Macaca fascicularis: one gene and its partners. The protein of the gene in region 5 interacts with the protein of the main gene of each other region in a pairwise test. Links are inferred from orthologs where the notes say so. Each region holds a gene or a part of one and is shown on either strand. Other genes may lie near its edges. The genes, in order: ANKRD24, EHBP1, COBLL1, JADE2, PACSIN1 and COBL.

What was found.
Region 1: the proteins of PACSIN1 (region 5) and ANKRD24 interact in a two-hybrid assay, tested with the Homo sapiens proteins (2 studies listed by BioGRID and IntAct). The link is inferred for Macaca fascicularis from reciprocal best matches to the Homo sapiens genes PACSIN1 and ANKRD24.
Region 2: the proteins of PACSIN1 (region 5) and EHBP1 interact in a two-hybrid assay, tested with the Homo sapiens proteins (2 studies listed by BioGRID and IntAct). The link is inferred for Macaca fascicularis from reciprocal best matches to the Homo sapiens genes PACSIN1 and EHBP1.
Region 3: the proteins of PACSIN1 (region 5) and COBLL1 interact in binary tests that used the Homo sapiens proteins (3 or more experiments, as listed by UniProt). The link is inferred for Macaca fascicularis from reciprocal best matches to the Homo sapiens genes PACSIN1 and COBLL1.
Region 4: the proteins of PACSIN1 (region 5) and JADE2 interact in a two-hybrid assay, tested with the Homo sapiens proteins (2 studies listed by BioGRID and IntAct). The link is inferred for Macaca fascicularis from reciprocal best matches to the Homo sapiens genes PACSIN1 and JADE2.
Region 6: the proteins of PACSIN1 (region 5) and COBL interact in binary tests that used the Homo sapiens proteins (3 or more experiments, as listed by UniProt). The link is inferred for Macaca fascicularis from reciprocal best matches to the Homo sapiens genes PACSIN1 and COBL.

Annotation. Positions count from the first base shown.
Region 1 is NC_088393.1:4,961,801-4,965,463, reverse strand, and holds part of ANKRD24 (ankyrin repeat domain-containing protein 24), read right to left. Parts: intron 1,146-3,663; coding exon 1,020-1,145; intron 1-1,019. UniProt on the Homo sapiens protein: Component of the stereocilia rootlet in hair cells of inner ear.
Region 2 is NC_088387.1:59,235,410-59,240,980, reverse strand, and holds the start of EHBP1 (EH domain-binding protein 1), read left to right. Parts: upstream 1-1,900; 5' UTR 1,901-2,008; intron 2,009-2,019; exon of another isoform or gene 2,020-3,122; intron 3,123-3,264; 5' UTR 3,265-3,556; coding exon 3,557-3,660; intron 3,661-5,571. UniProt on the Homo sapiens protein: May play a role in actin reorganization. Links clathrin-mediated endocytosis to the actin cytoskeleton. May act as Rab effector protein and play a role in vesicle trafficking.
Region 3 is NC_088386.1:60,394,764-60,400,296, reverse strand, and holds the start of COBLL1 (cordon-bleu protein-like 1), read left to right. Parts: upstream 1-1,671; 5' UTR 1,672-1,717; coding exon 1,718-1,805; intron 1,806-1,938; exon of another isoform or gene 1,939-2,052; intron 2,053-2,490; coding exon 2,491-2,581; intron 2,582-2,914; exon of another isoform or gene 2,915-3,038; intron 3,039-5,533.
Region 4 is NC_088380.1:141,114,857-141,119,824, forward strand, and holds part of JADE2 (E3 ubiquitin-protein ligase Jade-2), read left to right. Parts: intron 1-1,010; coding exon 1,011-1,128; intron 1,129-4,157; coding exon 4,158-4,286; intron 4,287-4,968. UniProt on the Homo sapiens protein: Scaffold subunit of some HBO1 complexes, which have a histone H4 acetyltransferase activity. Acts as an E3 ubiquitin-protein ligase mediating the ubiquitination and subsequent proteasomal degradation of target protein histone demethylase KDM1A.
Region 5 is NC_088378.1:137,164,501-137,169,468, forward strand, and holds part of PACSIN1 (protein kinase C and casein kinase substrate in neurons protein 1), read right to left. Parts: intron 4,151-4,968; 5' UTR 4,088-4,150; coding exon 4,025-4,087; intron 3,075-4,024; coding exon 2,918-3,074; intron 1,761-2,917; coding exon 1,525-1,760; intron 706-1,524; coding exon 550-705; intron 435-549; coding exon 259-434; intron 1-258. UniProt on the Homo sapiens protein: Plays a role in the reorganization of the microtubule cytoskeleton via its interaction with MAPT; this decreases microtubule stability and inhibits MAPT-induced microtubule polymerization.
Region 6 is NC_088377.1:79,403,437-79,408,404, reverse strand, and holds part of COBL (protein cordon-bleu), read right to left. Parts: intron 3,007-4,968; coding exon 2,909-3,006; intron 1,930-2,908; exon of another isoform or gene 1,851-1,929; coding exon of another isoform or gene 1,826-1,850; intron 1,643-1,825; coding exon 1-1,642.

The DNA of each region.
Region 1 (3,663 bases), on a different chromosome or scaffold from region 5:
AGTACAAAAAATTAGGTGGGTGTGGTGGTGGGTGCCTGTAGTCCCAGCTACCCGGGAGGCTGAGGCAGGAGAATCGCTTGAACCCGGGAGGCGGAGGTTGCAGTGAGCTGAGATTGTGCCACTGCACTCCAGCCTGAGCAACGGAGCGAGACTCCATCTCAAAAAAAAAAAAAAAAAAAAAAAAAAAAATTCCCAGGCAAGGCGGCTCACACCTATAGTCCCAGCTAGTCAGGAGGCTGAGGCAGGAGAATCACTTGAACTTGAGAGCTGGGAGGCAGAGGTTGCAGTGAGCCAAGATCACCCGCTCCAGCCGGGGTGACAGAGTGAGACTGTCTCAAAAAATCTATCTGTCTGTCTGTCTGTCTATCTATCTATCTATATCTATATATATATTTTTGTCTTTTTACATAGATATAGATATAGTTATAGATATATGGAAATATGGCCAGGCACTTTGGGAGGCTGAGGTGGAGAACTGCTTGAGGCCAGGAGTTTGAGGCTGCCCAGTGAGCTATGATTGCACTACTGCACTCCAGCCTGATAGCACAAGATCCTGTGTCCAAAAAAAAAAGGGGGAGTGGGTACCAGGAGCAGTGGCTCACATCTGCAATCCCAGTATTTTGGGAGGTCCATGTGAGCCCAGGAGTTTGAGACCAGCCTGGCCAACATGGGGAAACTCCGTCTCTAATAAAATACAAAAATTAGCTGGGTGTGTGGTGGTGCGTGTCTGTAATTCCAGCTACACAGGACGCTAAGGCACAAGAATTGCTTAAACCCGGAAGGCTGAGGCTGCAGGGAGCCGAGACTGTGCCACTGCACTCCACCTGGGTGATGGAGTGAGACCCTGTCTCAAAAGAAATAAAGGAAATATTTCCTGGCCGCACCATGCAGGTGATGTGGACGCCACCGACCCACCCCAGCCCCTCTCCTGGGATCCCCACCCATGCTGTGCTGATTGGTAAATATTTGGACTCCTCCATCCTGATGGTCCCGCGGCCCCCGCCCGGCCCGGCCCTTACCTGCAGCTGCTGCTGTAAATCCTTCACCTGGTCACGGAGGGCCTCCACCTCGGGGGTGGCCAGGGCGGCCGGCTGCTCCTTCAAGGCCTCCTTAAGACTGAAGACTTCTTTGGAGAGTTCTGTGATCTGGGGGTGCGAGTGCTGTCAGCCATCACCCTGGGCCCAGGGCTGGGGGCTGAGGACCTCTCTGCAGCCGCAGGAAAAGGCCAGGGATAAAGGCCTTCGAGGGAAGGTCCTGTCCCAGGCAAACTCTGGCCTGAGTGCCACGTCTGGCCCACAGCCTGTTTTAATTTCATTTATTTATTTATTTATTTATTTATTTATTTCTATTTTAGATGCTTATGGTTACCAGCACAGCCTGTTTTTATACAACCCACAAGCTAAAATTGGTTTTCACGTTTTTTGTTTTTGTCTTTTTTTTTTTTTTTTGAGATAGAGTCTCGCTCTGTCACCCAGGCTGCAGTGCAGTGCACTGGTGTGATCTCCGCTCACTGCAACCTCCGCCTCCCAGGTTCAAGCAATTCTTCTGCCTCAGCCTCCTGAGTAGCTGGGACTACAGGTGCCCATTACCACGTCTGGCTAATGGTTATATTTTTAGTAGAGACGGGTTTTCGCCATGTTGGCCAGGCTGGTCTCGAACTCCTGACCTCAGGTGATCCACTTGCCTCGGCCTCCCAAAGTGCTGGGATTACAGGCGTGAGCCACTGTGCCCGGCCAAGTTCTTAACTTAGTAGTAGCTGTGATCCTCCACAGAAAGTATGTTTAAACTGTGCCTGGTCAACAGTAGGCACTCAATAAATGCAGGGCCTTATTATTACTATACATCAGGGGTTTTCAACTTGAGGCAATTCTGCCCCCCAAGGGGACACTGGGTGTTGTGTGAGGACAACACGACCTGGAGGAGCTCTTGGCATGGAGTGGGTGGAGGTCAGGGATGCTGCTCAGTCCCCTCCAATGCCCAGGACAGCCCCAGCCCAGGAAACGATCCTGCCTCGACATCCACAGTGCGCAGGGGAAGAAACCAGGCTATAGATAAACCATCATCCTAACTGCAATTTTGCCCTCTGTTTAGAGGCGGAAACTGAAGCTCAGAGAGGTGAAGTGTCTGGTCTAAGGTCACACAGTGAGTCGAGGCTGGGTCATTCTTTATGCTGAAGCGCCTGGGACTCTGGGTGTCTCATCTCCTGTCCAGTGACATGTTGCGTGATTTTGAGCCACTAACTTCATCTCTTAAAGATTCAGTTTGCTCATCTGGAAAATGGGGACAAAAATACTTTCTGAAACCAGGTGCAGTGGCTCACGTCTGTCATCCTACCACTTCGTGAGGCTGAGGCAGAAAGATCACATGAGCTGAAGAGTTTGAGACCAACCTGGGCAATATGGCGTTTGAAACCCTGTCTCTTACCAAAAAAAACAAAAACAAAAACAAAACAGGCTAGGCATGGTGGCTCACGCCTGTAATCCCAGCACTTTGGGAGGCTGAATCACCTGAGGTCGGGAGTTCAAGACCAGCCTGGCCAACATGGTGAAACCCTGTCTCTACTAAAAATACAAAAATTAGCCAGGTGTGGTGGTGCATGCCTGTAATCCCAGCTACTCAGGAGGCTGAGGCAGGAGAATCTCTTGAACCCAGGAGGCGAGGTTGCAGTGAGCCGAGATTGCACCACTGTACTTCAGCTTGAGCGACAGAGTGAAACTTTCTCTCAAAAAAAGAAACAAGGCCGGGCGCGGTGGCTCAAGCCTGTAATCCCAGCACTTTGGGAGGCCGAGACGGGCGGATCACGAGGTCAGGAGATCGAGACCATCCTGGCTAACACGGTGAAACCCCGTCTCTACTAAAAAATACAAAAAAAACTAGCCGGGTGAGGTGGCGGGCGCCTGTAGTTCCAGCTACTCGGGAGGCTGAGGCAGGAGAATGGTGTAAACCCAGGAGGCGGAGCTTGCAGTGAGCTGAGATCTGACCACTGCACCCCAGCCTGGGCAACAGAGCCAGATTCCGTCTCAAAAAAAAAAAAAAAGAAGAAGAAACAAAAAAATTAGCCAGGTGTGGTGGCACACACCTGTAGTCCCGGCTACTCAGGAGGCTGAGGCAGGAGGATCGCTTGAACCCAGGAGGTCAAGGGTCCAATGAGCTGAGATTGTGCCACTGCATTCCAGCCTGGGTGACAAAGTGAGACCCTGTCCCCAAAAAAAAAAAAAAAAGGCTTTCTGGCTTTTAGAGTTGCAGGAAGATTAAAAATGGTAACGTGTAAGGCCGGGCGCAGTGGCTCACACCTGTAATCCAGCGCTCTGGGAGGCCGAGGCGGGTGGATCACGAGGTCAGGAGATCGAGACCATCCTGGCTAACATGGTGAAACCCCATCTCTACTAAAAACACATAAAAAATTAGCTGGGCGTGGTGGCGGGCACCTGTAGTCCCAGCTATTGGGGAGGCTGAGGCAAGACAATAGCGTGAACCTGGGAGGTGGAGCTTGCAGTGAGCCGAGATCGCACCACTGCACTCCAGCCTGGGCGACAGAGCGAGACTCTCTCTCAAAAAAACAAACAAACAAACAAAAAAACAAAGGTAATGTGTGAAAAATTCCCAATCTAACAACTGGAGGCTGCTGTTATCATCATTGTTTAGGAACAAACGTGGGAATGT
Region 2 (5,571 bases), on a different chromosome or scaffold from region 5:
ATACTTCCCCTAAAAAGAAGAGCTGTCATAAGAAACCATCAGTCTCTTGAAATTTCCCACAACTTGAGGAAGATTCCCTAGGGATCCTACTCCTTTATTTATTTATTTTTTAAAAGACACTATTTAAAACATTACTTTTAAGAGAATTTCTTTACAATAAAAGTCAGTCTCTTTTTTTCTCTCTCTTCCCCCTCTCCCTTTTGAGTAAGGGAAGCATGTTAAAAGAAACCAGAATGACCACATGAGAAAGTTTGAGAACTTACGAAGAACAGTAATAAATAGGGTGCAAAAACCTTCTGATCATCATGTGGATTGTTTCTGAAGGGTAACTTGGATGAAAATAATTTATGACCATTTCTACAAATTAGCCATTAAAGAACTCCACACACTTAAAGCCTATTAATGATGCAGAATATATTATTATATGAGATCATAACGGCTATAGGTTGTAGTGACTTCGTAAACTACTCAGGAAGGACATCAGAGAACTCTTAATACAAAAGAATCAATATGATTATTACGATTATTGTAACATTTTAGAATTGACTAGCAAAATAAGCGATAACTATGCTCTCTTCTGTAAAATGCACACTGTGCTCTTGTGTTATTAGATCACTTTCTTTATTGAAAGTGGAAATTGAATTAGATACTGGATTCAAGCCTTCCATCTATCTGTCTCCCCATCTCTCTTGATTCTTCAACATGTCTCTCCACTTTGTCTTGGCCCCCAGTGTCTATAGATGGACTCAATTCTCACTCACCACTGCTCTCCCTGTCCCTGAAAGAATCCTCCCTGGACCCTAACACCTTTCAAGCTACTTTGTCCATGAACCCTGCTTTCCAACTTTCGTAAGACTGAACGATCCTTGTTTCCAGAGCCTATCCCGCTTCCTTTCTTTTTATGTTAGCTTGCCTCTCTTTTTCTCCCCAAACTGTCTGCCCATTGCTTGCTGATGCGCCTACTTCTCTGATTATTCCTTCTCAGTCTCTTTCCCATTTTACTCTTAAATTTTATTCCTTAAATGCTAGGATTCCCCTGAAGTTTCATTCTTTGTCCTGTTTCTCTACGCCAGAGGTCTGTGAACCATCTAAAACTGAAAACAAATTTTTGTGTTTTGAGACAGGACACTTTTTCCCCCTTGAGAAAGTATCTGTAGCTTTCATGTTCTCAAAAGGGCCCTTGGCTCTTTTAACAAGATTAAGTGTCCCTGCCCTCACTCTGCCTCCTCCTTTTTGCCTTTGACTACCCTTTTTGTACGCTAGCTGTTCCCAAATCCATCTACAGTTCTCACTGGGGGCAAAAGAGTCCGACAGCGAAGAGGAGAAACCAAGATTCAAAGAAACGTGAAGACTCCGAACAAGAAGAAATTGTACTGTACACATTTTGTGTCTAGCTCAGCTGATCAATCCTCTTGAAGACCAGTTGACTCAATGTTGGGCGGGGAGCGGGTTGAGGGGGGGTGGCTGACAGGGTCATTACTTCAGGTTGTCAGGTAAGATCCCAGGAGGAATTGGTGAAATAAAGGCTGTATGCGCAAAAACCCTAGTTGCCAGTGGTGGAGGAGAGGGCGCGCCCAGGTCCTCGCGGAGATGAGAACAGGAGAGAAACCCACAGGCAGCCGCACTGCCCACAGCTGCTGCGAAGCCAGTCTCCAGGTCTGCAATCACCCTTAGGGTCCAGAAACCCAGCCCGGCACCGGCGGCGCCTTTGACGGACAGCCACCTTCTACAATCACCTTCCAGTTCAGTATAAACACTCCCTATTCCTCCCGCCTATCGCTTCCCTCTCCAAGCCAATCAGAAGAACGGGCGGGATCGTACTTAGTCGGTTCCTTTTTTTTTTTTTTTTTTTTTTTTTTTTTTTTTTTTTTACAAAAAGGTTGCCTGTGCGTCGCGTTCCGGCTTGGAGAAAAACCACCTCCCAAGCAAGGGGAAGGTGGAGCCCCTTTGATGGGCAGGCAGTTCTACCAGTCAGGCACCCCAGCCACTCTAAGACCCGGCCGCTGAGGTGGGCGGGGCACGCGCGGGACCCGGCCAATGGCGGCGGGGCGGTGGAGGTTCAGCTGCGGTGGGTAGGGTTAGTGTGAGAGGTGCGGCGGGGGAGGTAATGATGATGGTGGCGGAGGAGGAAGGCGGGGGAGGGGGTGCTGGGCGCTGAGCGGCGGCTCTGGCAGGGTTTGGTAGGGTGGGGGACGGTCGCGGGGCGATCTGTCAGGGAGGGGGCGGGCGTGAGGGGCGCCGTCCGCCTGAGGGGCTGCAGATCCCGGCTCCCGCGAGCGCCGTGGCTGGCTTGGCTGTTCCATGTGGCTCCGGCGGGGATGGAGGACTCGGTGGCGGCGGCGGCGGCTGCTGCTGCGGCGGCGACGGAGGAGCGCCTCTGAGAAGGGAACGGGGCCAGACACAACCCGACAGCGGGATTAGAGGTGTGAGGAGGGGGCGGGAGTGGACGAGCGGCGGGGCCGGGGCTTGGGGTCCGGGCTGGGGTCTTCTGGTATCGCCTGGGTGACAGGGACCGCGGACGAGCCACCGCCTGCCTCCGCTGGGGGGCAGGGGTCTGGGCTCTGTGCGTGAGGAGACTGGGCTCCGGCGGACTGTTCCCCTGAGGATGGGGGAGGGAGGCACCGCACCCTGCACAGTCCACTTGCCCCGCTGGTCATTGCTTCACGCCCAGGCAGGAGTTTCCATTTCCCTCCGGTTGGCAGCGAAGGAGCCCAAGTGGCCTGGAGCCGGGACATTGCCCTCTCTCTGCCTGGAGATTTCCCTCCACTCCTCGTTTCCCATCCATTTCCTCCCTCCGACTGAAAAACAGCATTCCTCCTGGCTCCCTAATTTGTTCCAAGCACATATTGTCGGACTTGAGGCTATTAATTATCGGCTGAAAAACAAAGTTTATTAAAAATACTCCACTCCTCCCTCTGACTGGCGGTGGACATTAAACAGCATCCCTAGACTTTCCCGCTCTGCTCGCCCTTCTGTGATGCTAACGGGGAGGTAGGGCCCCGAGTTACCATCTCTCTGGATTGTTGTTGATGCTGACTACCTGATGTGTCGCTCCACGTCTTCGGTGTGAATTGTAATTTCTTCCTTGGTGTCTTGCATCCTTGATGTTACTGGCTTTTGAGGTCGGTGTTTTGTTTCATTGTTTAAAAGACATGCAGAGAACTGGGATGGTCTTTTGCAGCGTTATTTAACATGGGTGGTTAGTCACTTCTCATGATTCTCTCCTCATATTCTTTCTCTTTTTGTCTTTGTTTTGCTTTTCAGTCCTCCAGAATACACATATAGCCCCTGAGGTGGCATGGTGATGTCTCCATGAGGGAACCCCCTCCCACTCATCCTGTCACGTATATCATAGTGTTCTTGACTGGGCCATTCATCTAAGATGGAATTTACCCTGTGAAACAGGGAGAAGACTTATGGACCCCAAGCATCATTTCGAGTTGTAGTTGAGTTTTTAAAAGACATACATGCAAAGTTCGTTTGCTTTGGACCCTCTGCATTATTAAAGCTGCTGTATTGCTAACCCAGAACTGCTCCAGTGTCTTGACTGATCATCATGGCTTCAGTTTGGAAGAGACTGCAGCGTGTGGGAAAACATGCATCCAAGTTCCAGTTTGTGGCCTCCTACCAGGAGCTGATGGTTGAGTGTACGAAGAAATGGTAAGATGTATGTGGAGGTAGAGTTTGCTGTGCTGTGGCCTAAACTCTGGGTCTTCTGATAGTTTATTTACCTTTCTACAGTGCACTAATGTGTAGAAGCTGGGTGGGGTGCAGATAACTCTAACAAGTACTATGCTGTGCACAGTTGCAGCTAGTATCATCCCTGTGGATTTTAATTACTGCACTTCAGTATGGCTCAGAGGACTGTAACTGTGAGAGCACACTAAATACAGTACATTTGGTTTTGAGGTTATTCATCATTAGTGTTAAAATAACTTTGATTTTTGTAATTTTAAGGAGACAAAGAATGGCTACTGAAATATTGTGAGCATGTATGCATATGCTTTAATATAACATAGGCATATGACTGAATTGAGTTTTAATATAGAAGTCTATATTCTTGTGGGGTGATGGTAATCTTTTTTTTTTCTTGTTTTTTCATTTTTCCTTGCTTAGGATAAAGAATTTTTCATTATTTGATTAATGGACTGCCATCCACAAAACCTTAGAAATTCTTTTGTTAAATGCTTACTCAGGCAACTGTATTTTATTTTAATTGCCTAATGGGATACATTTCTTGGCCAGATTTAAGGAAGCAATTAGTAGTGCTGGTCTGTGATTGGCTTCTTTCCACTTGAGAAGAGTAAATATAGGGCTTTCTTTCCATTGCCCTGAATGATAAACAACAAAATTTTTTAATTTAGTGGGATAAAAAAGTTAATTTTAAGCAAATGGTCGTTTGGGCCTTGATTTACTGCAGTGATTAAGCAGTAATGGACTTAATTGCAAAATAAGCCCATTTCTTTGTCCACAAGGACTGTAATTCAGGTCTGTAATAACCTTTCTTTTTAACATCCTTTTTATTAGATTAAAAACATAGCTTGCTCTATTCTAGAACTCATAGCATATTTGAATATTTATTTGGAACTAGTTTCTGAATGCTTTTCTCTTCAACTTGTTAGGAATATTATTTTAAAATCAGTTTGAGAAATGCATGCACTCATTACCTACTTTATACCAGGTACTGTGGATTTAGAGTAGAATATGACATAATCCCTGTCCTCAAGGAGTGTACAGTCTAGTGTAAGAGTCACATGAATAAATTTACTGTGAGAGATGCGGTAGTATAAATATGTATGACATAACGATTTTAATCTGTCTTCATCCAGTTGAGTATCTTTGAGGACAGATTATTTAACTTCTCTGTGATTCAAATTTCCATAGCCATAAAGGTCATAATGGTGCCACTTCATAGGGAGGGTAATTGTGAAGATTAAATGAGTTAATACATGTAAAATGCTTGGAACAGTGTCAGGGACATAGTGCCTAATAGATGCCATTATTACATACAGAGGTAGCAGAGGGAAAAACAATCAGTTCTTTAAGGGTAGAGGATGAGTTGTTGGGATGGCTTCCTAGTATCTGAGCTGGGTTTTGAAAGATTCATAGTTGTCCAGGAAGCCAAGGGGGAAGAAGTGAAAGACATTCTAGACTGAAGCAACAACCTATGCAGAAGCATGGAGGCTTACCTAGCATGGGATGTGCTGGAAATTCAAGTAGTATAGTTTGATATTAATGGGGTTTAAAGTGTAGGATTGGGGGTCATGCAGTGAGATGTGAGGTTTGAGAGTCAGGCAGGACTGAAAGCATGTAAAGTTATGTGCTGTTAATAAATGATTTGGGGATTATTCTGTAGGTGATAGGAACATAGTGAAAGATTTTGAGCAGAAGAGACATTAGGTTTGCTATTGGAAAATCACCAGGACTACAATGTAGACTGAGGATCATAGTAAAAGGATGACTGGAAATAGCAATATTAGGGTAGCTGTTTTAATAAATAAGGGGAGACAAAAGGTTAGGACTAGGCAGTGGCAAAGGAATGGAAAGAATTAACTGGAGGAACACTTAGAA
Region 3 (5,533 bases), on a different chromosome or scaffold from region 5:
TTTCATGTCTGTTCACATTTCCACTTACCAAAGTCACAGGGTCATACCTAATTTCCATGGGGTGGAGCATATATTTCTCCCTAGGACCAGAAGGAGGAGAGCAAAAAGTGGTGAGCACTGAAAATGCCTTCAGCGGTTATGAAATGTTATGAAAATGTTTTATGACTAAGATAAGGCCTAATCTTACTAGTATTAGGGTCCATAATATTACTAGTATGTCGTACATTAAGGCTGAAACTAATTAAAGATTTAATCTTGTCTTGTGATTGAAAGTTATGGACTTTCAAGTAGTTTCCCTGTTACTCAATATTTGCATCATTGTCTGTGCAAGCAACTGTAAAAGCTTGCACAGCTCCGTGTTCAGAAGCATAAATGATTCATGAAATTGTTTAACTAGAGTTATTGTTTAAAGACTAAAACCCAGAAGTATTTACATAAATTGCTTTACTCTTAGTTAAAATCTCTAAAAGCAACTTTTTCTAATATGGTTCCAGTATTGCAATCCAAATGAGTCATGTGTTTTTCTTTTCATATTTAAGATGCACTGAAAGACTACATTATGCAGTGAAAGAAAGAAATACCAATGCCTGCGTATGATAGACAAATGGCACACTGCTAGGTATTTAGTTCAGCAACCTTTTTTGTTGCTGAAATGGATAAACAACTAAAGGAGCATTAAAATCAATTTAATTTTAATACCTGCCAAATGTTATTCTATCAGTGGCTAACACAGGTTTATTACTTGATGTTAGTACTACAACAGAAGTCCCCTGCAGGATGTTCCTTCATGTAAGATCTCTCCATCAGTTTAATCCAAATATGTTTTTAAAACTGTAATTTTAAGTTGATTTCTTAATGTCATATGGTTTTCTGAAAACACATTTTTGGACCCATCAGAATGGCTCGCATCTTAAAACAATTGGCACTTATGAAAAATATAAAATATGTAAATAATTAGGGTGGTGCAAAAGTAATTGCGGTTTTACCATTACTTTTAAAAATGGCAAAAACCGCAGTTACTTTTGCACCAACCTAGTACCTGTCTGTCAGGTGTAAAGAATCATGTAAAAGGCATGCACGTGGATACTAAAACGTTCAAACAAGCACACATCTGTGTCTAATTCCTTTACCCTTGTAAAACTTCCAATAAGTGAATACAATCTATCAGTTAATTCTTAGTTTATAGACTGTCATCAGACATTCTGTTGTCCAGTTCTCATGTCAGAGCTGTTATAGGCTTTTACAAAAAATGCCTCTGAAGACAGGGCAAGCTTAAACCTGCCATCAATTAGAAAGATCTGTGTCACAGGTGCACTTTTAAAAGAATGGCAATCTTAGAGGTCAAGTTAAAAACACAAATTTAAAAAAAAAAAAAAACAATCCTGGACGTCGAGGGTCAGACTCCAGGGAGGGCAAGCTGCAGGTCCCACTCTGCGAGTTTCTGTCCTCATTCCGCGGAGGCCCTAATCCTCCCCGCGGATCCTGGCAAGGCAGGTAACCTCCCTTCCCCCACACCTGTCCGGCTCGGGCGCACCAGCCTTCCCCAAGCGCAGCCCTAGCGGTGGGAATGGGAACACCTCGTCTGGGAGCTTCCTTTCGGTTCAGCTTCCCCAGCCGGACCCCAAAGACCCGAAGCCCTGGGGGAAGGAAATTCCAACTCGCTCCCGGCCCACCCCCGCCCCGTTCCTTTCTCCGGCTCGCTGCTTCCCTCGCTCCGATGCCGCCGAGCTCGTCCCCACTTCTGCGCGGCAGTGCTGCACAGGCGGCGGCGAGCTCCCGGACTCCGGGCAGGGAAATGGGGCAGGGTGAGTGAGAGATCGGGCTCCAGCGAGGCCCCCAGCGCCCAGCGAACGCCCGCACCCCGCCCGCGGGACAGGGGAGGCGCTGAGTCGGCCCTGCCCGCGCTGGGCTGAGCCTCGCAGGGGTTGCCGCTTCTCCATTCAAGTCCTGGCTTGAGAGCCGAGCGGCAAGAGCGCGGGCCGGGGGAGGGAAGAGTAGGAGAGGAAGCCGCGAGGGAGAACAGGCGAGCTACTGTCTCCTTTGGGAAAGAACGTAGGAGCCTTGGGTGGGAAAAGAGAGATCAGCCCTTCCAACTTCTCTTAGGGAAAAGTTTTCCCGGGGCGTTTTGTTTGTGCAAACTCGGCCGGAGGAGCCTGGGAGTGCGCTGCCGGCGTGGCGGCGGTGCCCGTGCGCCCGGCCCCGCTCTTCTCCCTCCCCGAGAGGCGCCAAATGGCTACCCAGTAAACCCCACGGGGCGGGGGCTGCAGCGCCGCCGCCTCCTCTGCGGTGCTCTGGGCGCCCGCTAGACCTTGCAGCGACGGCGGCGGCGCCCGCGGGCTGGGAGCCGGGGCCCGCAGGTGGAAGCGCACCCGGGAGGCGGGCCGGCCCGGGCTGGGGCAGCGCGGGCGGGCTCTTGACGCTCAGCCAGCTTCGCTCCGGCCTCGGGAAGGCGTGCGTCCCGCCCTGACCCGCCGGTCTCTCCCACCCCAGCAGTGACGCGCCGCCTGGGAGCTGGAGCCCGCGCAGCGCCCCGCAGGGCGATGGACGGCCGAACCCCGCGCCCGCAGGACGCCCCAGTCGGGTAAGCCCAAAGCGCCGCGCCGCCCCTCACTGGGGAGGGCGAGGACGGCGAGGATAGCGAGGCCTCGGCCGTTTCACCTGGCTGGCAACTCGCTGCCCTGCCGGCGGCCTGACTCACTGGCTGTCCTCCACGCGGCCGGGGAGGCTGCTTCCTCCCGGCCTTCTCGGAGGCCGCCCGGGCGGAGGGCTCGGGTCGTTTCTGGTTGCCTTCCTACCGGGGCTGCCCTGGGTTCCTGAAGGCCAGCTGAATGCCAGGAATTGGGTGAGGAGTCCGAGAGCAAAAATTGTAACAAAGGGGCCCTTGTTTGGGCTCTGGGGGAGCGGTGGACGATACCTGTAAGTGAGCTCCTGGGGAGGGAGGGCAAAAGTTTCCTTGGCCATGGGCTGAGACCCAGGCAGGTGAGCAATGCCAAGGTGACTGTAAGGAGTGGGCTTTCTGCAGGCGGTTGGAGGGGGACAGGAGGGTGTGCCAGCTGTCAGCCCGCATGACAGTTCCGGGAGCGAGCGGGGTGCGCGCCTCTGACTGGGGGTGTGTGTGCCTGTGGCCAATTACTGGTGCCAAAACCCAGGGCAAATCAGATTGCAAACAACTCTACTTTTCTTTTTATCCTCACATGTTTGAGAAGAGAGGAAGGGGCTGTCACATGGTGAGTTAATGTTAAATGAGGCATGTCTTCCTGCCAGATATGCTAATAGTCACCTTGCTAAGCGTTTGAGTAAACAGCAGTGAGAACAGGTAGTTCTGCAAGAGATGAAGAAAACCCGAAATTAACCTTGGTCTTGGTAAATAGTTCAGGAGTAACCTGGATGCTAGTTGAGCTTCTGAAGTGGGAAACTCATTTGATGTAGTACAACTTCTTTTCCCCCCAGCGTTAAGTGTTCCTCCAACAGTTTATTTTCTTAGTTAATCTGAACGCAGAAATGCCCAATTGAGAATATGAGCATTCCAGAAATAGAAACGTTAGGGAAAAATCGACGTTGTCACTAATGAATGAGACTTGTACAATTTTCCTGATTTAAGAGTGTAGAAGTCATTTTTCCCTGGAACATGACAGGCGTTTCCTTAGAAGCAAGTCACAGCATGTTTATTCATCAGAGACCATGCGAACATTGGCAGTTGTCTAGAGGAAACATGGAAAAGTCTCAAAGCAACATGACTAATCTAAAAGATATTTAGTATAATTTTTACATAGAGGAAACGTAGTATGTGAATTAATTATTTCATTTTGCTCCAATTAACTTTCTCCTCTCTGCAAATATTCCTCTCGCTGTTGACTTTCATTTCTTTCCCCAGGTTTTTCATTGTTTAAATATTATCATATCTCCTTACATATATTCTCACATTAGGATGAGTAAAGAAATATATTGGTAGAAAGATATTGAGCATACAAGCAAGATTCCTAAGTGGAGCTGCAGAATTATGTGAATTGACGAGACAGCTGTCAGGATACTGAAATGTATTCAGGGATTGCAAAATAAAATAGAATTAAATCGGGTTTGGAAATGGATTAGGTTAAGGTACTTTCAAAAACAAGAAAGAAAAACATACCTGCTTTCACAAAATACACCCATGGGTGTTCAGAAGTCACTGGGGACTTTAAGTAAATAGGTGAGGTCAGGTGGCTCTGTGTTGAAGAAACAGAAAAACACTTTTTGCTGGCAAGCATAACTATAGTAAGAACCTTCAGACTTTACTCTTGGTATTTTATTTTAATGTAGAGACGAGGTCTTGCTATGTTGCCTAGGCTGATCTCAAACACCTGGCTTCAAGCAATCCTCTAACCTTGGCTTCCCAAAATGTTAGGATTACCAGTGTGAGCCAGTGCGCCCAGCCACTTTTGAGAATTTAAAGGTTAAACTGATAAGTTATTTGCTTAAAAAGGAAGTACAAAAGAGCTTTATCTAATTTGTCAAACATCTTTAAAGGACTTTTGCCCTCCCCTTTTCAAATTTAAGTAGGGAAAATGTGTCAACACCTTATCTAAAATAACACAGTAGTTCTATCATTTTACCTGACATTATTCTATTCAGAGAAGTGATCATTACCTGAAAAATATCAACATTAAAAAATTACCTCTCTACTTCATTTGTCTTCTTTCACTTGTCTAACTTGTCCTTTGGCATATGCCTGTCATATAAGATTTGTTGAATATTTAATATTCAGTATTGCCTCTGTTCTTTCTCAAAAACCCAGAATATAAAAGGTTTAAATTGGGGGAGAAATATCTAGACAAGGATATTTTGGAGGTGGCAGGCAGCAATCTTAATATGTTATAATTGTTAGGTTTTGGAGGAAAATTTCTTGCTATAAAACTGACTAATTATATCATAACTCATAACTTTAATAGACAATGAAGCCTAGTTTAGTCTTTATCCTTGGATATTACTGTTGGAAAGAATTCCTCTGTAATTTTCCAAGTTTTACATTGTTGTAACATGTCATTTTAACATAGCACCAAGTTTTGTTCTCCACATTTTATAAATGAGACTCTGAAGCTCAGAAACACTGAGTGAGTGTGTTGAAGTCCCAGCAAATTAGTAGTAAAACCAGAAGAAAAACTCTTAAGTGCCTAGTTCATTTTGTTAATTGCTTTTAATCTTTTCTTGACCATGGTATGATATAACAATCTACATTTTAACAGATAACTTATATTTAACCATTAACTCTGTAATATTTTAATACATTTCAGGAAAAATGTAGTTAATATCCTTATCCTCACTTTTATTAATTCTATGATAAATTAGCCCATTCGGGGAATGATTGATTATTTTAGGAAAATAAAATAGTATTATGGCCTCTCCGCTGCTGCTTTTTCTTTGAAACATTCTAAATAATAATTGTAACATCAAAAGGGATAGTTTGAAGGTTTTTTGGTGCCTTCCCGCATTTAACTCGCATTTAGCGTTCTACGACATTGTGAGTTATGTGGGTTGGGTGTCATTTTCTTTTCAG
Region 4 (4,968 bases), on a different chromosome or scaffold from region 5:
AATGGAGTCTCCATCCTGTGCTGAAGAGCAAGGAAGTGTCTCAAGGAAGAGGGCTTGGTCTTGGCTCCGGAAGTGTGGCCTGCCCTGAGAGCAGCCAGGGAGGGATGGCCCACTAGGGTAAGGTGCCAGGTGGGCAGGCAGCAGCATGGTCCATCCTGCAGGTGCTTCCTGTGGGACCACCTATAGGAGGGGTCCATGTCCCATGAGCTTAGAAGCTGGTGTCTAAGGCCCCAGGGGGCTCTTCTCAGCTGGCCTTGAGGCAGTCAGAGAGGCCTCTGCCCTCTCTGCTGAGGAGTTCTGTCACTGGCAGTGTGAAGGTGGCTGTGTGGATGTGGAAGCCTTGGCCAGCATGGCATGAGCCTGGCTCAGGTCCCAGTGCAGCAGGTAGACATGGGTTGGCTGCCGGCTGGGCACAGTTGGGTTAGGACTTCCTTTCTGCTCAAAGCTATTCTGCTGGCGTTCTCTCGGGCTGCAAGTACCAGGGCCATTTGTGGCTCAGGACACATGTTAGTTTTTGCCATGCCGTTTGTGTCTGAAGAATTTCTTTACTGGAAAAGAAAGGCCTTGGACAGGAGGCAGAGGGATGAAGTTGGTGACCTGGTGAGACCCTGATGAGTCTGCGGGCACTGTGGTTATAGAGGAGAGCAACCATGTTGGCAGGGCCTTGGGAGGCAGCGTGGCTGACCTTACCAGGAAGGTAAGACTCCAAGGAGGAAGGTGGGCATGCTGGGCTGATCTAACCAGATGCCCTCCCCTGGCCGCTCTGGCTCAGCCAGGGACCACAGGGCCGAGGCTGTGTGTGGCCTTAGGTTTTGTGTCCGAGACATGCAGCACAGGGCTGAGGATGCGCTCAGGGTCTGGAAATTGGTTTGCAGATGTTCTGGGCAGGATAGGCTATGGTGGTAACCTGTGCCCCCGGCGCTGCCTCTACCCATAGCAAGGTCCCCAGAGCTGGGAGGTCTGGGGTGGTTGCCTGTGAGTAAGGTGGAAAATCTCTCTTGTTTTCTCAGGTTAGAAATCTGTGCTACATGGTGACAAGGCGCGAGAGAACGAAACACGCCATCTGCAAACTCCAGGAGCAGATATTCCACCTGCAGATGAAACTTATTGAACAGGATCTGTGTCGAGGTAGGCGCCTTCCCCACCTGCCACTGCCACCTCCGTGTGCCCTCTCTTGCGGGGCTGGGTCCCAAGAAGGGTGTGTCTTGGGACCCTGGTAGGGTATCTGCGTGGAGCCAGGGGCCACTGGCCCCCACCCCTACCCTTCACCATCCAATTAGTCGGCCCAGACGGGGGCCTGCCAGGGTCCTGGGTTGTGTGTCACTAGGCAAAGAGCCAGAGGTTGGAATGTGGGCATCAGGCCTGCCCTCAGGGAGCTTTCTGGTTGACTAGGCCACAGCAGTTCAGGAGCTGATTGCATGTGAACAGGTACAGAGAAGAAGGCCTAGTGGCTTTCTGCTGGTGCTGAGGCAGGAAGACGCCAGAAGCTGGTGAGCTTCCCTGAACCCTGGTGTGCCTGGGAGTCAGTTTCGAAGAAGGCAGCTGCCCCAGAGATGTGATAGGACCTGGCTATTGTTTCTGTCTGACCCTAACAGGATTCTTGCACTGCATCTGCAGTGTTTTCCGCTGTTTTATTCTTATTCTTCGTATTCTCTTGGCGTCACATGTGTTCAATGGGTCTGGCAATCAAAGGCTGAAGGAAGCTCTGACATTGATCTTATCTGTTAATTGTGGATATTGCCAGACACAGGACCCTTCCTGGAGCGTATACATGTTAAGAAGGGCAACACTTAGCCCCCAAAGCGGTACCCCAGTGTTTGGTTTACATGCAGCAGAAATAGCTGGGTGGAGAGAGACCTTGAGCCTGGGTCTGCCAATGCCACTTCAGCCTCGGAGCTGAGCTGGGCCTGGAGTGGAGAGGAGGGAGGAAAGCTGCTGAGCCACCATTGGAGCAAATGACTGAGGACCTCTGCTGCCCCTACTTCTGCCTGAGAGCTGAGCTGACCTGATTGTGCTTTGGCATCACCATCCGCTCTGGCCCCAACATCTAGCCTTGCCAAGTTCAGGTGCTAGTCGTGGCCATGCAGAGCTCACCATGTACCCAAAGACTGTGGCAGCTTCCTGGCTGCTGGAGCTTTCCAGGCCCCCTGTCTTCTGTTTATTCATTCAGCCAGCATTAGCTGAGCATGGATTGGATAGGGTTCCTGCCCTTGTGGAACACACCATCTGGAGAGAGAAAGGAACGTGGTATCGCAGAGGCTACAGTTGCTGCCAGTGCAGGGATAGAAGTATCAGGGATGTCTTCCCAGAAGCAGTGATGCTCCGACAACATCTCAGGCCTCCTAGCACTTGGCTGTGGCCACATGTCGGCTGCAGAAGGAGAAGCCCATGCAAGGCACCCACAGTTGAGGAAGCAGAGGGTGGCAAGCCACGAGCAGTGCCCTCAGGCACAGGATTCCAGAAGCATGGTCAAGAGCCTGGAGGGTTCACATCCCCGCATTGGTTCTGGGGACATTTGCAACTCCTTGTCTTGAGTGTCAACAACAGGCAGCTGTTTGTTCAGGGCAGGGCGGGGCATTTGGAGATGACTGGTTTGCCCTGTCCAAAGCTGCTGCTCACACTGTTGGGAGGCTTGACGCTTGGGGTGGGTCATGGGCTGTGTGCATATTGGTGAGGCTGTCTGGCTTGGCGGCTAGAAAAGGCCTCCTAGTGGAGATGATATTTGGGCTGTGAGCTGAATCAGATGAAGGATAGGACAAGAAAACAACGTATTTGGAGACTTAGTGGCCACAGCATGTCTTGGCAGAGAAACTGGAAGGAGGCTGGAATGGCTGCACCGGGCAGAAGGAAGACACCTAAAGTAGGGGTGATGGGTAACCAGGGTCACATGTGCAAGATCTTCTTGTAGCCTGGGGGAGGAGCTTACACTGTCCTGAGAGCAGTGGGGAGCCTCTCCAGGAGCCTGCCTCCAGAGTGTCTGGGCATTGGTTACATGCCATGTTACAGATGAGATTGCCCAGGCACGGTGGCTCATGCCTAAAATCCCAGCACTTTGGGAGTCCACAGTGGGAAAATCCCTTGAAGGCAGGCGTTCCAGACCAACCTGTCTGTACAAAAAAAAATTACAAAAATTAGCTGAGCATGGTGACACATGCCTGTATTCCTAGCTACTTGGGGGAGCAAAAGTAGGAGGATTGCTTGAGCCCAGTAGTTTGAGGCTGCAAGTGAGCTATGATTACACCACTGCACTCCAGCCTGGGTAACAGAGCCAGGCTCTGTCTCTAAAAAATAAATAAATAAACAGATGTGGCCAGGCACAGTGGCTCACACCTGTAATCCCAGCACTTTGGGAGGCCAAGGTGGAAGGATTACTGGAGCCCAAGAGTTCAAGACCAGTCCGGGCAACATAGTAAGATCCTGTCTCTACAAAATTTGAAAATTAGCCAGGTGTGGTGGCGTGCACCTGTAGTCCCAGCTACTCAGGAGTCTGAGGGTAAAGGATCACTTGAGCCTGGGAGGTCAAGTCTGCAGTAAACTATGATTGTACTACTGTGCTCCATCATGGGCAACAGAGCAAGACTCTGTCTCAAAACAAACCAAAATAGATGAGACTGAGGCCTGGCCTGAACTGAAAGGATACAGGAGCCAGGGGTGCACCCTGAATCTCCCATCCAGTTCACTGCCTGACTTTGAAAGCCAACCAAGAGACCAATGCAGGAGACTGGTTCAGGGGAGCTGACCCTGGGGTTAGGAATGGACCCCAAGCCTCTCGACCCCTCAGATAGTGTTCCTTCCACTGACATGTCTAGCTCCTCAGCCTGGCATTCAAGGCCCTGACCTGTCCAGACTCCCCTCCAGCCATTCTTCCCACCACCCACACTCTCTCCCAAGGCTGCAGGTTGTGCGGGTCAGACTAGAGTCCAGGTCCTGCAAGGGCCTCTCCTTGTGGCCCTGTGGCCACCCCAAGTCCCCCACAGGGCACAGTGGACAATTGGCTCACCCCACCATGCCAGCCGTCCCCTGGCTCCAACCTTTTTGCTGTGGAGGGTGAGCACTGACTGATGGAGGACTCCTGGGCTGCCACGCAGGGATCTTGGTGCTGACTGAGGCCACTCAGGATAACCATATCCCTCCTCCTCTCGCTTTCCCTGACACAGAGCGGTCTGGGAGGAGAGCAAAGGGCAAGAAGAGTGACTCGAAGAGGAAGGGCTGCGAGGGCTCCAAGGGCAGCACTGAGAAGAAAGAGAAAGTGAAGGCGGGGCCTGACTCAGTCCTGGGGCAGCTGGGTGAGTGAGGGCCATGCTGGCCTGCAGACACGGGCAGGCTTGACCATCACCACACTTGCAGCTCTGCTCTGCAGAAGGCCAGCTGCACAGAATAGGAGACTGAGGCTCAAGAGCGGTAACCAGGCCCTTGCTTGCCCAGGTGCACACACCTTCCACCCACAAAGGAGACAGATCTCAGAGCCCCGTGTGACATCCTGGGAAATGCCCCTTATGTAGACCTGGATGGAGGCTGGGCCACGCCCATTCAGGAACTGTCCAGTCATTTCCCTGGCTGGATCCTGGTGGCTGGATTTTCCCAGAGTCCCCCAGGACAGCCCGCATGCTGGGAGGGGCGGATCTACCAGAAAGCCCCATCCTTGTCTTACTCTCCCAGAATCCTCTAAATAGGCCCTTCCTGTAACAGCAGCAGACTTTCCTGGAGCTACCCAGAGATACCCAGAGGAGTGGCTGCAGGCCCTGGCCCTGCCCATCACCTCCACTGCCCAGGCCTCCTGTTAGGCAGAGCAGCCTAATGGGAGCATTGTGACTCATGGACCTCATGTGCTTCCTCCAGAGATCTCGGGGAGCATCATGGAGTCCCCTTCCAGACCTTGCCTCTGGGACAGAGGCCCCAGGTCATCCTTTCTGTCCCTCTGTCTCAACAAGGGGACAACCCAGGCATGGTGGTGCATGCCTGTATTCC
Region 5 (4,968 bases):
AGCTCCGGGCATGCTCAGTGAACTCCCTTCTCCCTCCCACCTTAGCCATTCACCCATCACCCTGCATGTATTTCTAGAGTACGCAGTGTGCGTCATCTTGCACCCATCAGCCGCTGTGTTTGAAGCCTCATCCCTCTTGACCCCTGCAGCTCTGCCTCCCCTTCCCGTCACTATGATGTAGGGCTGGGATGCCCTGCATGCCAGTCACACCAACTGCTGGCTGTGCCTGTGCCCTCGGTGCTTGCCATGCCCAGGTACCTGCTGTTCTCAGCCAGGTTGAGGTGCCGTTTGATATCCAGCAGCACCTCCTTGAGGAAGACCAGCCGCTTTTCCTCGAATTGCTGGCACTGCTCAAACACCTGCTCCATGTTCTCCATGTACTGGGGTGTGGTCTTGCCCACGTCTTCCAGCACTTTCTCGTACTTCTCCTGTGTCTGTGGGCACCAGAATGGAGAGAGGGTGACACCTAACCAGGCCTGCAGCTCCCAGCCACCATCCTTTGCAAGGGGACCCCCAGACCCCCTGCTGCCATCCCGGCCCGGCCAGCACCTTCTGCACATCCTGCTTGCACTTGTCCACTTTGTCCTGCAGCTTCTTTTGTTGCTCAGGTGTGACCGATTGCTCTGTCTTGCTGTTCATCTCCCGTGTCATGGCCAGCTTCTCCTCTTTGCAAGCCAAATGGTAGGACTTCTTGGCTGCCTCCAGCTGTGGGGAGGGGGGAATAGGGAGTAGGGTTTTCATCTGTGACCAGCAGCAAACATGGTCATCCATCAACTCCTCCCCTGCCCACTCCCTGGGAGCTGTGAGCCCACACTCTTTTTTTTTTGAGACAGAGTCTCACTCTGTCGCCCAAGCTGGAGTGCAGTGGCCGGATCTCAGCTCACTGCAGCTCCGCCTTCCGGGTTCACGCCATTCTCCTGCCTCAGCCTCCCGAGTAGCTGGGACTACAGGCGCCCGCCACCTCGCCCGGCTAGTTTTTTGTATTTTTTAGTAGAGATGGGGTTTCACCATGTTAGCCAGGATGGTCTCGATCTCCTGACCTCGTGATCCACCCATCTCGGCCTCCCAAAGTGCTGGGATTACAGGCTTGAGCCACCGCGCCCGGCCGAGCCCACACTCTTAAGAGCCAGAAAGGATGCAAGCCCTGGCTCCAGATGTTCAGGAGCAGCACTCCTCCATTTGTGGCTTTGTCTCTGCTTAGCACTGCCTGCTCCCCTGCAGATACCCTCCTGTCAGGCAGTGCAGTGCCCACCCCATCTGGGGAGCCAGGGGCCAATGTGCCCGTCTGCGCTGCTGGTATCTTTCCTGGGGACAGTGCCCTCTTGCCCATGGGTTTCCTTACCCAGTGGGCACTGCCCACCCATCTGTGAATATTTCTTCCTGGAAGGCAGTGCTGCTCCCCTGTGGGCACAATCCCGGAGGGCAGTGCCCAGCCCACCCATCCGTAGATGCCCTCCTTGGGATCAGCACCCTCTGATCAGACGGGCCCACCCCACCCCACCCGTGGCAGCACCCACTGAGCACCTCTTTCATCTTCTTGGCCCAAGGCTTCTGGGCCTTGCGGAAGCCATCTTCAGCCTCCTTTGTCTCCTTGAAGCCACCCATGATCTGCTTGTGATAGGCGTCCTTCTGCCAGTTCTTCACCTTCTCCAGGTCCTCATTCAGCAGGTTGTTCTTCACCTCCTGGTGCAGCTCGCTCACCTTGTCTGCCTCCGTCATTATGGCACCCCAGGCCCGCTCCAGGCTGCCATACTGTGGGCCTGAGGGAGTGGCAATAGGTCACAGGAACCTCACTGCCCCCTGCCCAGAGGCCCCCCTCACACCTCCCTTCTCTGAGGCTTTCCCCTTCCTGCCATAGCAACAGAAATGCCCTCCTCTGCTCTACATGGCCCCATCCTCTAGGGCCCACATCAACCACTATCTCCAGGAAGCCTTCCCTGACTGCTCTACCCAACTGCCACGGCCTGCAGCCCTTGCTGCATTCTTCTCACAGTATCTGCAGCTGTACCTCCCTCCTCTTTATCTCTCCCGTCAACGTGTGAGCCCCACAGAGTGGGGTCAGAGGGGGGCAGCCTGGACCCTGTGAGCTCTGACAAGCCCAGCACAGCGCCAAGCACACAGTAGGTGCTCTAGGAATGTTAGCTGAAGCTTGTGACAGATGCCAGGAGGCCACTGGGGACCAGTCATTCCACATTGACTTGTTGTTTGTGTACTGGCACCAGCTCTGTGCAGGGCACTGTGCTAGGTGGTGCAGGCCCAGCCCCTGCTCTCATGGGGTTTAGAGTATACTGCAAGAGAATAACACGAACAAGTATATGTAAACCGCAACTTGAAACTGTTCTAGATTAAAGGAACCTGAAGACACGATGCATAGAGGCAATGTGCGACTGCGCTAGATCCTGGACTAGCAAGCACAATTGTTATGGTAAATCTGTGTATGAGTTGTATTCATGTCCCAAATTTGGTAGTTGAACTCTGGTTACATAAGCAAATGCTCTTGTTCTTAGGAGATAATGAAGAATTTAGGGGTAAACGGATAATGGCTCCAGCTTACTCTCAAAAGGTTCGGAACATATGCATATCAATAAACAGTCGGTGAGAAAACAAACGTGGAGCCAGTGAGTCTGGGGGAAGGGTGTGTAGGAATTCTCTGTGCTACTGTTGCAGCTTTCACACAAAGTTTGAATTATTTCAAGATAAAAAGTGTTTTGCTTTTTTTTTAATCCAACCTAAAGTTGTACAAAATACAGATGAACAGGTAAGCCTGGTTTGATCTAGGAGGGAACAGAGCCTGAAAAGGTCCTATGGCTGGTAGATGCAGGGCATGGTGCATGCAAGTATCCAGGGCTCCCAGGACCCAGACCGAGGGGGCGGGTGATGGCCTGGGGGCGCGCAGGATGTGAGCCTGGGGGAGCACCTTTCTCGATGAGCTGGCGCCAACGCTTAGCCCAGTCCGTGAGCTGCTGCCCGTACGCCTTCTCGATCTTGGCGCGCTCCTGCACGCAGTTCATCAGGTCGTTGCATAGACGGTGGCCGTCATCGATGCGCTTCACGGTCCGCTTGTAGTTCCCCACCTGGCGGCCAAGCAGCGAGCACCACTCCCGCGGGTTCCTAGCGTCCCCTGCCCCGCCCGCCGCAACCAGCACGGCCACGCCCACTGTCTCCCGCCCCGCCGTCCCGCCCACGGCCTCCGGTCCCGCCCCCGCCCCCAGCCCCGCTGCCCAGCCGCAACGCAGCAGGGAAACTGACTTTCGGAGGCTCCAGCACCCTGCGTCAGGCCCCACCGTCTACACGCACCCTCACCCCAATTTAAACATGATTTCCTCGCTGCCACAAAATGCAGAAGGATTTTTAGAATTTGGACTTGGGCTGGAATGAATTATTCATTTTGTTTTTGCGAGTTAAATCTATTATATTTATATAGAGTCATATAAGCGTTGAGTTGAGCTGCAGCTTCTTGACATAATATTATGTTTTGTAGACATCTCATTAAACGCTTATTAATTTAGGTTTGGCAGTTTTCGTCTTGGGTTTCAGGAGCCAATAGCAATTTTTTTCCTCCAGGTCTCAAATATTTCCGAAGGCTCTGAAAATGCTGGCTTCTGGCCGCGCCTGAAGGGGCCCCGTGGGGCTCTGGGAGCTCACTCCCTCTCTCTGTGTCCAGCGCTCCACCCCTGCCCACCTCAGCATCGGGGGCGAGCGAGGGAAACAGGAACAGCTGGGAAAGGCTGTGCTGTACCTGCCTGATGGAAGTGCCAGAGTCACAAAGGGCCTGTTCCCACATTGTGAAATGCCACAGGCTCTCTCTGGGGGCAGCTGTGGGGAGAGAGGGGCTCCTGACTCAGTGGGCAGTGCTCTTGGGCCACTTCATGGCTACCGCTGCCTGTTGGACACCCAGGGCTTTGGAGGGGCCTGGGGGACTGGGGAGTGGGGCCTGAGGTCATGGGGTGAGTAATAGGGGAGCCTGGCCTCCAAACAGCCAGGCTGTCTGGTCCCCAGAACCTGGAGATCATGAGAGCCTCACCTCCCAGAAGCTGTCGGTGGTCTCCTCTGGAGCCAGTGAGGCCTCATCGTAGGAGCCGGACATGGTGTAGCCGCAGGGGGATGGACAAGTGCGGAGCTGCGGTTAGCAGGCTCAGCTGCTCATGCACTGGGAGGGCAGGAGAGAGATCCATGGAGATGAGAGAAGGGCCTTCCACCCTTTGCCCCATTCCAGTCCTGGGTCCCCAACCCGATGGGATAGGGGCTCCATGGGAGGAGGCTTGCATTAGGATGTCAGCTTCCTGTCCAGAAACTAGCTCACCAGACCTAGGGTAACCCTAAGAGTCGCCCTGTAGCACCCTCATGCCCAACTCCCCATCCCTCCTCCTTCCCCCTCCCTCGAATCCATCCTCTAGCTCCAGTATGAGCACCGCCACTCAGAAGCCAGCCCCAGCCCCAGCCCCCAGAGCTGGTTCTGTCTCCTGAACTGTTGGAGCCCAGGCTCAGCGCCTCCTCAGTTATCTGAGCCCCGGGACCCTGTAAATGCCCTTCTGGCTGCCCTTGCTGCCAACCTCAGCAGCCCCCATTAGCTCCTTACAAATCTCCTGGGAATCCCAATGTGTGGCGTCCTGGCCCACAGGTCACACCACCGAGATCTCACAGGTCACACCACGGAGATCTATGGGAGCATCTGGGGTGGCTGTGTCTGCCCTGGATCTGTCAGCAGGCATCACGGTTATCCAATCTAGGCTGTGCGCTGCCCCAGGGCCAAGGTGGGTACTCCCCTCCTCCCCTCCCCAGCCAGCCCTCGCTGTTACCCCAGGCAAGAATGGCTCAGTAGTCAGGAGCCAGGACTCAAGAGGGCCAGGGGCCTGGTTTTCAAAGAGGCAGCAGAGTCCAGGCTGGGCCTGGCCAGGCTGTGAGCTGCCAGCCACTAGCTGGATCCAGGCACCAGGGGACACCTTCTTGCTTCTGCACTGCAGTCCC
Region 6 (4,968 bases), on a different chromosome or scaffold from region 5:
GGCTTGCCGCGGCCTGGGGCATGCACAGAGCCATTGGCCAGCTCCCTGCTGCAGGCCTGGGCATTGGACATGTGTGGAGGGGGTGGGTCTGTACCATCAGGTGCGTGTCTGGGTTCAGATGCTGAGTTGGCCTCCTGGTGACTTGTGCTTTGCTTTCCACTGAAACCACAGCTCTGTCCCACAGAAACACCATCCCTCTGGGAAGACGGAACCAGTGAAAAACAGGAGCTTCTGTGGATAGCAGCAGGTCCATCCTGAGTATACAACTTCCTGTGTGGGCTGCTGACCTCCCTGCTAGGAGGGGCTCCCACTGCTGAGTCTTCCCCATGGTTGTCAGGAGGAGTGACACAGGGCCGCTGGGCACCGTCCTTCCAACCTTGTGTCTCTGAGTGTGGGCTGGAGGTCCTGTCATCTTTCACAGTTACAGGTGGTGCAGCCAGCACTGGCACCCTGCCTGCATAACCCTTCTCGGCATGGCCGTGCGGCCTTACCACGTCAGCATGGACTTTCGGGGGTCCTATGCGCTTGGCAATGGCAGAGGCCACATACTGGCTGGATGTTCTTCTCTGAGGCTTGAGAAATGTGACTTCTGTGTTGTGAGCTGCTGGCACCTTCACGTGACGCATGCCCATGGTGGGGGGCTGGCTTCTCCCCTCCTCGAGGGGGTTCCGGCCCTCATGGTGGGCAGACTGCTCCTGGGGCAATATTGGCTTGGGGTCTGCTTGGTGTCTGCTCTCTGGATGCTGCGTCTGGGTGCGCACAGGCGGGGAGGAGGGTCCCCTGGCAGAGTTCTCCGAGGGCCGACCCAGGTGCTTTTCCACAGAGTTGCACCTCCAGAACTCTTTGACTTTCCCAATGGGCTGAGATTCTGCTTCAGGCACAGACGAAGACAGGGAAATGATCCTGATGCCGGTGGTGTGGGGATTCACCAAGTTCCCCAGCTCGTCAATCTTAATGGCGCCGGTGGAGAGGGACACGTCTCTGTCGTAACATCGCATCTCTGACTTTGGAGGAATGATTTTATATGTTGTGAGGCCGTGCTTCAGTCTGTAGCTTCTCCCTGGGTTTTGGCCTCGTTGGTGCCATGACGCTGGTGCCAGGGCAGCGTTTTTATCATTGCCCTCCTTTTCATTCACTGGTTGGGAATTCACTCTCTCTGTGGCCTGAGTCCTTTCCCCGTCAGCACAGCCATGCACTTTGTCTTTCACTTTTGCATTTAGGTTGTCTGTGTGAAGATTCGAAGCACAAGAAGTCACCCTGGGCGCTGTTTCCATTAGATTTCCGTCTTTACAGATGTTGGATAAGGCCACACGGATTCCTTTTCCCATGTCATGGGAAGCGGGGTGCAGGGCAGGTACTTCCTCCCTTGCCTTTCCAGGGGGCTGGCTGTGCTCAGCCTGAAGTGGCGCCAGGGAGGCTCTCCTGCTGGTAACACCCTCCGAGTTGAAAGACCCAGCATTGTTGTTTCTATTGGAAAACAACCCCGAATCCACAGGATCATCTGAAACTTCCCCTATGAATGTTACTGGGATTGCATCTGTGTCGCCGTGAGGGACCATGGCATCCTGTGGGCAGTGGTTGGATGTACCATGGATGGAGCTGGTAAGGGAGCTGGTGTCGGTTTCATAGCTGTCTTCCATTTCTGCAAAGAGGGACAAACACAAATCACAGAGGTTTCCCACGCCAATTACTTAGTGTAATTGCAGCCATGACTTTGATTTCCCTGAGGTTACTGTTGAATACATTATTTACGTACGTTTTAAAATGTTATTTGGGTTTGTAATCTACATAATATGCCTGGGGCCAGAATCTCAACTTTCATTACTCAACACAGCTGTTTGCAGATCCATGATGTTTCAAGGCAAGGTATTCAGTTACAACGTGCTGCCAACATCCTTCACTCCTGGGCAACAGAGCGAGACTCCGTCTCAAAAAAAAAAAAAAAAAAAAAAAAAAAATCGATTTCTAGATCCAAGCCTCTGGAAAAACTATCTCAACATAGAAACATGAAAGTGAGTTTTGGGTTTTGACCTCCATGTTTCTCATGTCCACTAGAAGCACAACAGAATCCAGAGGACCACGGGCTCTAGCTTTAACTTCTTAAGGAAGCAGATGACTAAGTCTTGAGTATCTCAGAATTACCATTGCTCTTCCAAGCACCAAACGATGCAATGGTCATGGGGTCAGAACCTGCGGGACACACTATGGCTGATTCAGATTTTTAGCTCTGTCAGCTATACATTCTCAGGACAGGAAACTGAAAAGTGAGTCAGACAAAAACAACCCGTCAGTTTTGCAGTCTGTTATCTTCTCTCTCTTTTTAAGGCATGATAAATATCTAATTTTTAGTTTATTTTCAACATATGCCTTGGAGAAAATAACATAGCTGCTTTGTTTGAAAGATTCCCTAGCTGTTTACTGCAATTATTTGCCATCTGCTTTGGCCTTCCAGTATTATTTCCCCAAAATATATCAATATAATAGCAGTGCCATGAGATGCTCCATTATAAATGGCTTCATTGTGGTCAAAAGGCTATTTCTCATTGAGATGCCATATATTAGCAAATCAAGAGAAGTCTTAATGAGGAAATCTGTTTATCTTTTGCACCACCCTTTTTATTCTTTAGCATGTGCAGCATACTTTTTAATGCGCAGAATTAGTATTATTCAGAGCACACTGTAAGCAGCTGTCTGGATGTTTCCAGGTACTGCTTGGCGGCCCAGATAAAAAGCAGTCTACTGGAAAACTGTGTGTGCCTCACATCCAGGCTTTCACCAAACTGGACTGGAATTCCTTCTGAAGGCCATTTCCTCACGTAGATACATCAAAGTATGCTCAGAGGAAGTTACTGTTGGCACCTACTTTCATGCAGCATAATATCAAAGTAGTAGATCAGGTGGTTCTTACCTTCCAGGTCTTCATCAAGTTCTGCAAGGGTTTTATGGAACTGTCCAGTAATTAATAGGTCTTCTTCATCATTTGAGGCTGTGGCAGCTTTTTCAGTTCTGGGGAAGACCAAAGAGAAAGGAGTACTCATTTCTCTTACTATTGATTTAATGTACTCCTTTCCAGGAATATCTGAGGATAGAACAGCTCACACTCAAATTCAAGCAGTCACATACTCACTGTACTGCTGCTGTCCTCAGAACTACGGAGACGCAGATTGTTCATGGGTGTGTGTGTCCCCCGTGCGTGTGCACAGGTGTGTGTGGGATGCAGGTGCCATGTGTGCATGTGTGGAGTATATGTCTTGCATGTGGTGTGCATGTGATATATGGTGTGTGTGTGGCCCCAAAGTGTTAAAAGTAACCAAACCACACACAGCTTTCATTCACTCTGCAGACTGAAGTCAAAGTTTTAATTCCATTGCACAAAAGACAGGTTCATGTGATCCAGGATTTGCTTGCATCTCTGCCTCGCACTACAGCAAGTTCCCTGCACCTGGCACCTGGCAAGAAGGAATGAAGCCATCTGGAGGCCAAGTATGTGCACGTGGCTGGGGGCTGGTCCACCTCACCTTGACACTGCACAGCCTGGCTGTTCCTCGGCACTTGGGGATTTGAGTGCAGCATCGTTCGAGGTCCCAGTGATAAAGGCTACATACCTCTGGCGCAGGATCTGCCTGCTGTTAGGAGGCCCATGGGGAGGGTTGTGCAGGGCTGCATGGAGGAGGGTTCCCAGAAGTCCCACCAACTTCATAAGCTCAGCCTCCATTTGTGTCCCCCCTAGCAGTGGCCCACCCTGCCATACTCAGAAAACGAGAAATTTCACTGCCCGACTATAAATGACTTTTACAGACTCTATGTTTACTTTGGCTTAATTTCTACCCTGGGTGGGTGACAGGGAGCCTGATAATGCCACTTGCAGGGGCAGGGCTTGGGGGCTTGATAATGCCCATTGAAGAGCTGTACTCCCTGGGATCTTGAACTGGGACATAAAGATAATGAGGATGGCCAAGAAACCTCACAGCAACAGTAACAGGAATAACCGCTCCACCCTTGACCCTGCAAGCCCCTTCCCAAGGTCCCCTCTCAGACTCAACAGGAGGAAGCTCCTAGCAGCGTGAGGCCTGCCTGCATGCCTTTGTGCCAGCCCCCGAACACAGCTCTTTTGCACCAATTATCTTCTTATAACCCTCACAGACAGTTTTTCAGGTAGGTAGTGTTGCTGTCACTGTGGTACAGAGATGAAACAGAGCTGCCCAGGTCACACGGGCATCCAGAACCAGGCCTCCTGCCCCAAAGCCCAGGAATGACCAGCTGCATCTGGGGCCACAACACATAATAATGTGGCCCCTGTGGCACGGGGCAGCCAGGAAGATGTCAACCCGTCTGCTCAGAGAGCCGGATCTGGCTTTATTTGCGTCACAGGGACAATGGCATCTGTGAGACAACTGCTGCCAAAACAATTTAAAAACTGTCTTTGCAAGGGCTCTTGCCTCTATTTTCCTATTGTGCAGAAAATACAGAGACATGTCTATGGCAATTGTCTATCTTCAGTGAAAGCTGAAGGTTTGTTTTCCGCTGATTGTTAAAAATTGAGGACCAATTTCCATCATTGCTAATCAGGCCCAGATAATGATGCATGAAATAAGCTTTGCACAACCCTCACGTAGCAAAGTTTTTATTCTGATAAATGAGTCTTTCTTATTTGGTGACTATGTCCATTTGGGAGCCAGGAAGTGGCTTCCAGATTAGTCTCAGCTAATGTCCTCTGACAAGCTACACAAAGGGGGCTGGTTGGAGATGTGTGTGCATGTGGACCCATTAATAAGGACCACAAGAGGTGCATGACTGTCTTCCCTATTACTTTTGCCACGGACTTTAATTATTTGAATGCACTTTACTAAAGTTGTGCTTTTCTCTTTCATGAAATGTGATGGTTTAAATATATTTAAATTTTTAATAAAATATATGGCAGAGAAAAATGGAAATTGCTATATAAAAGAGCAATCTGAAATGGAAAAT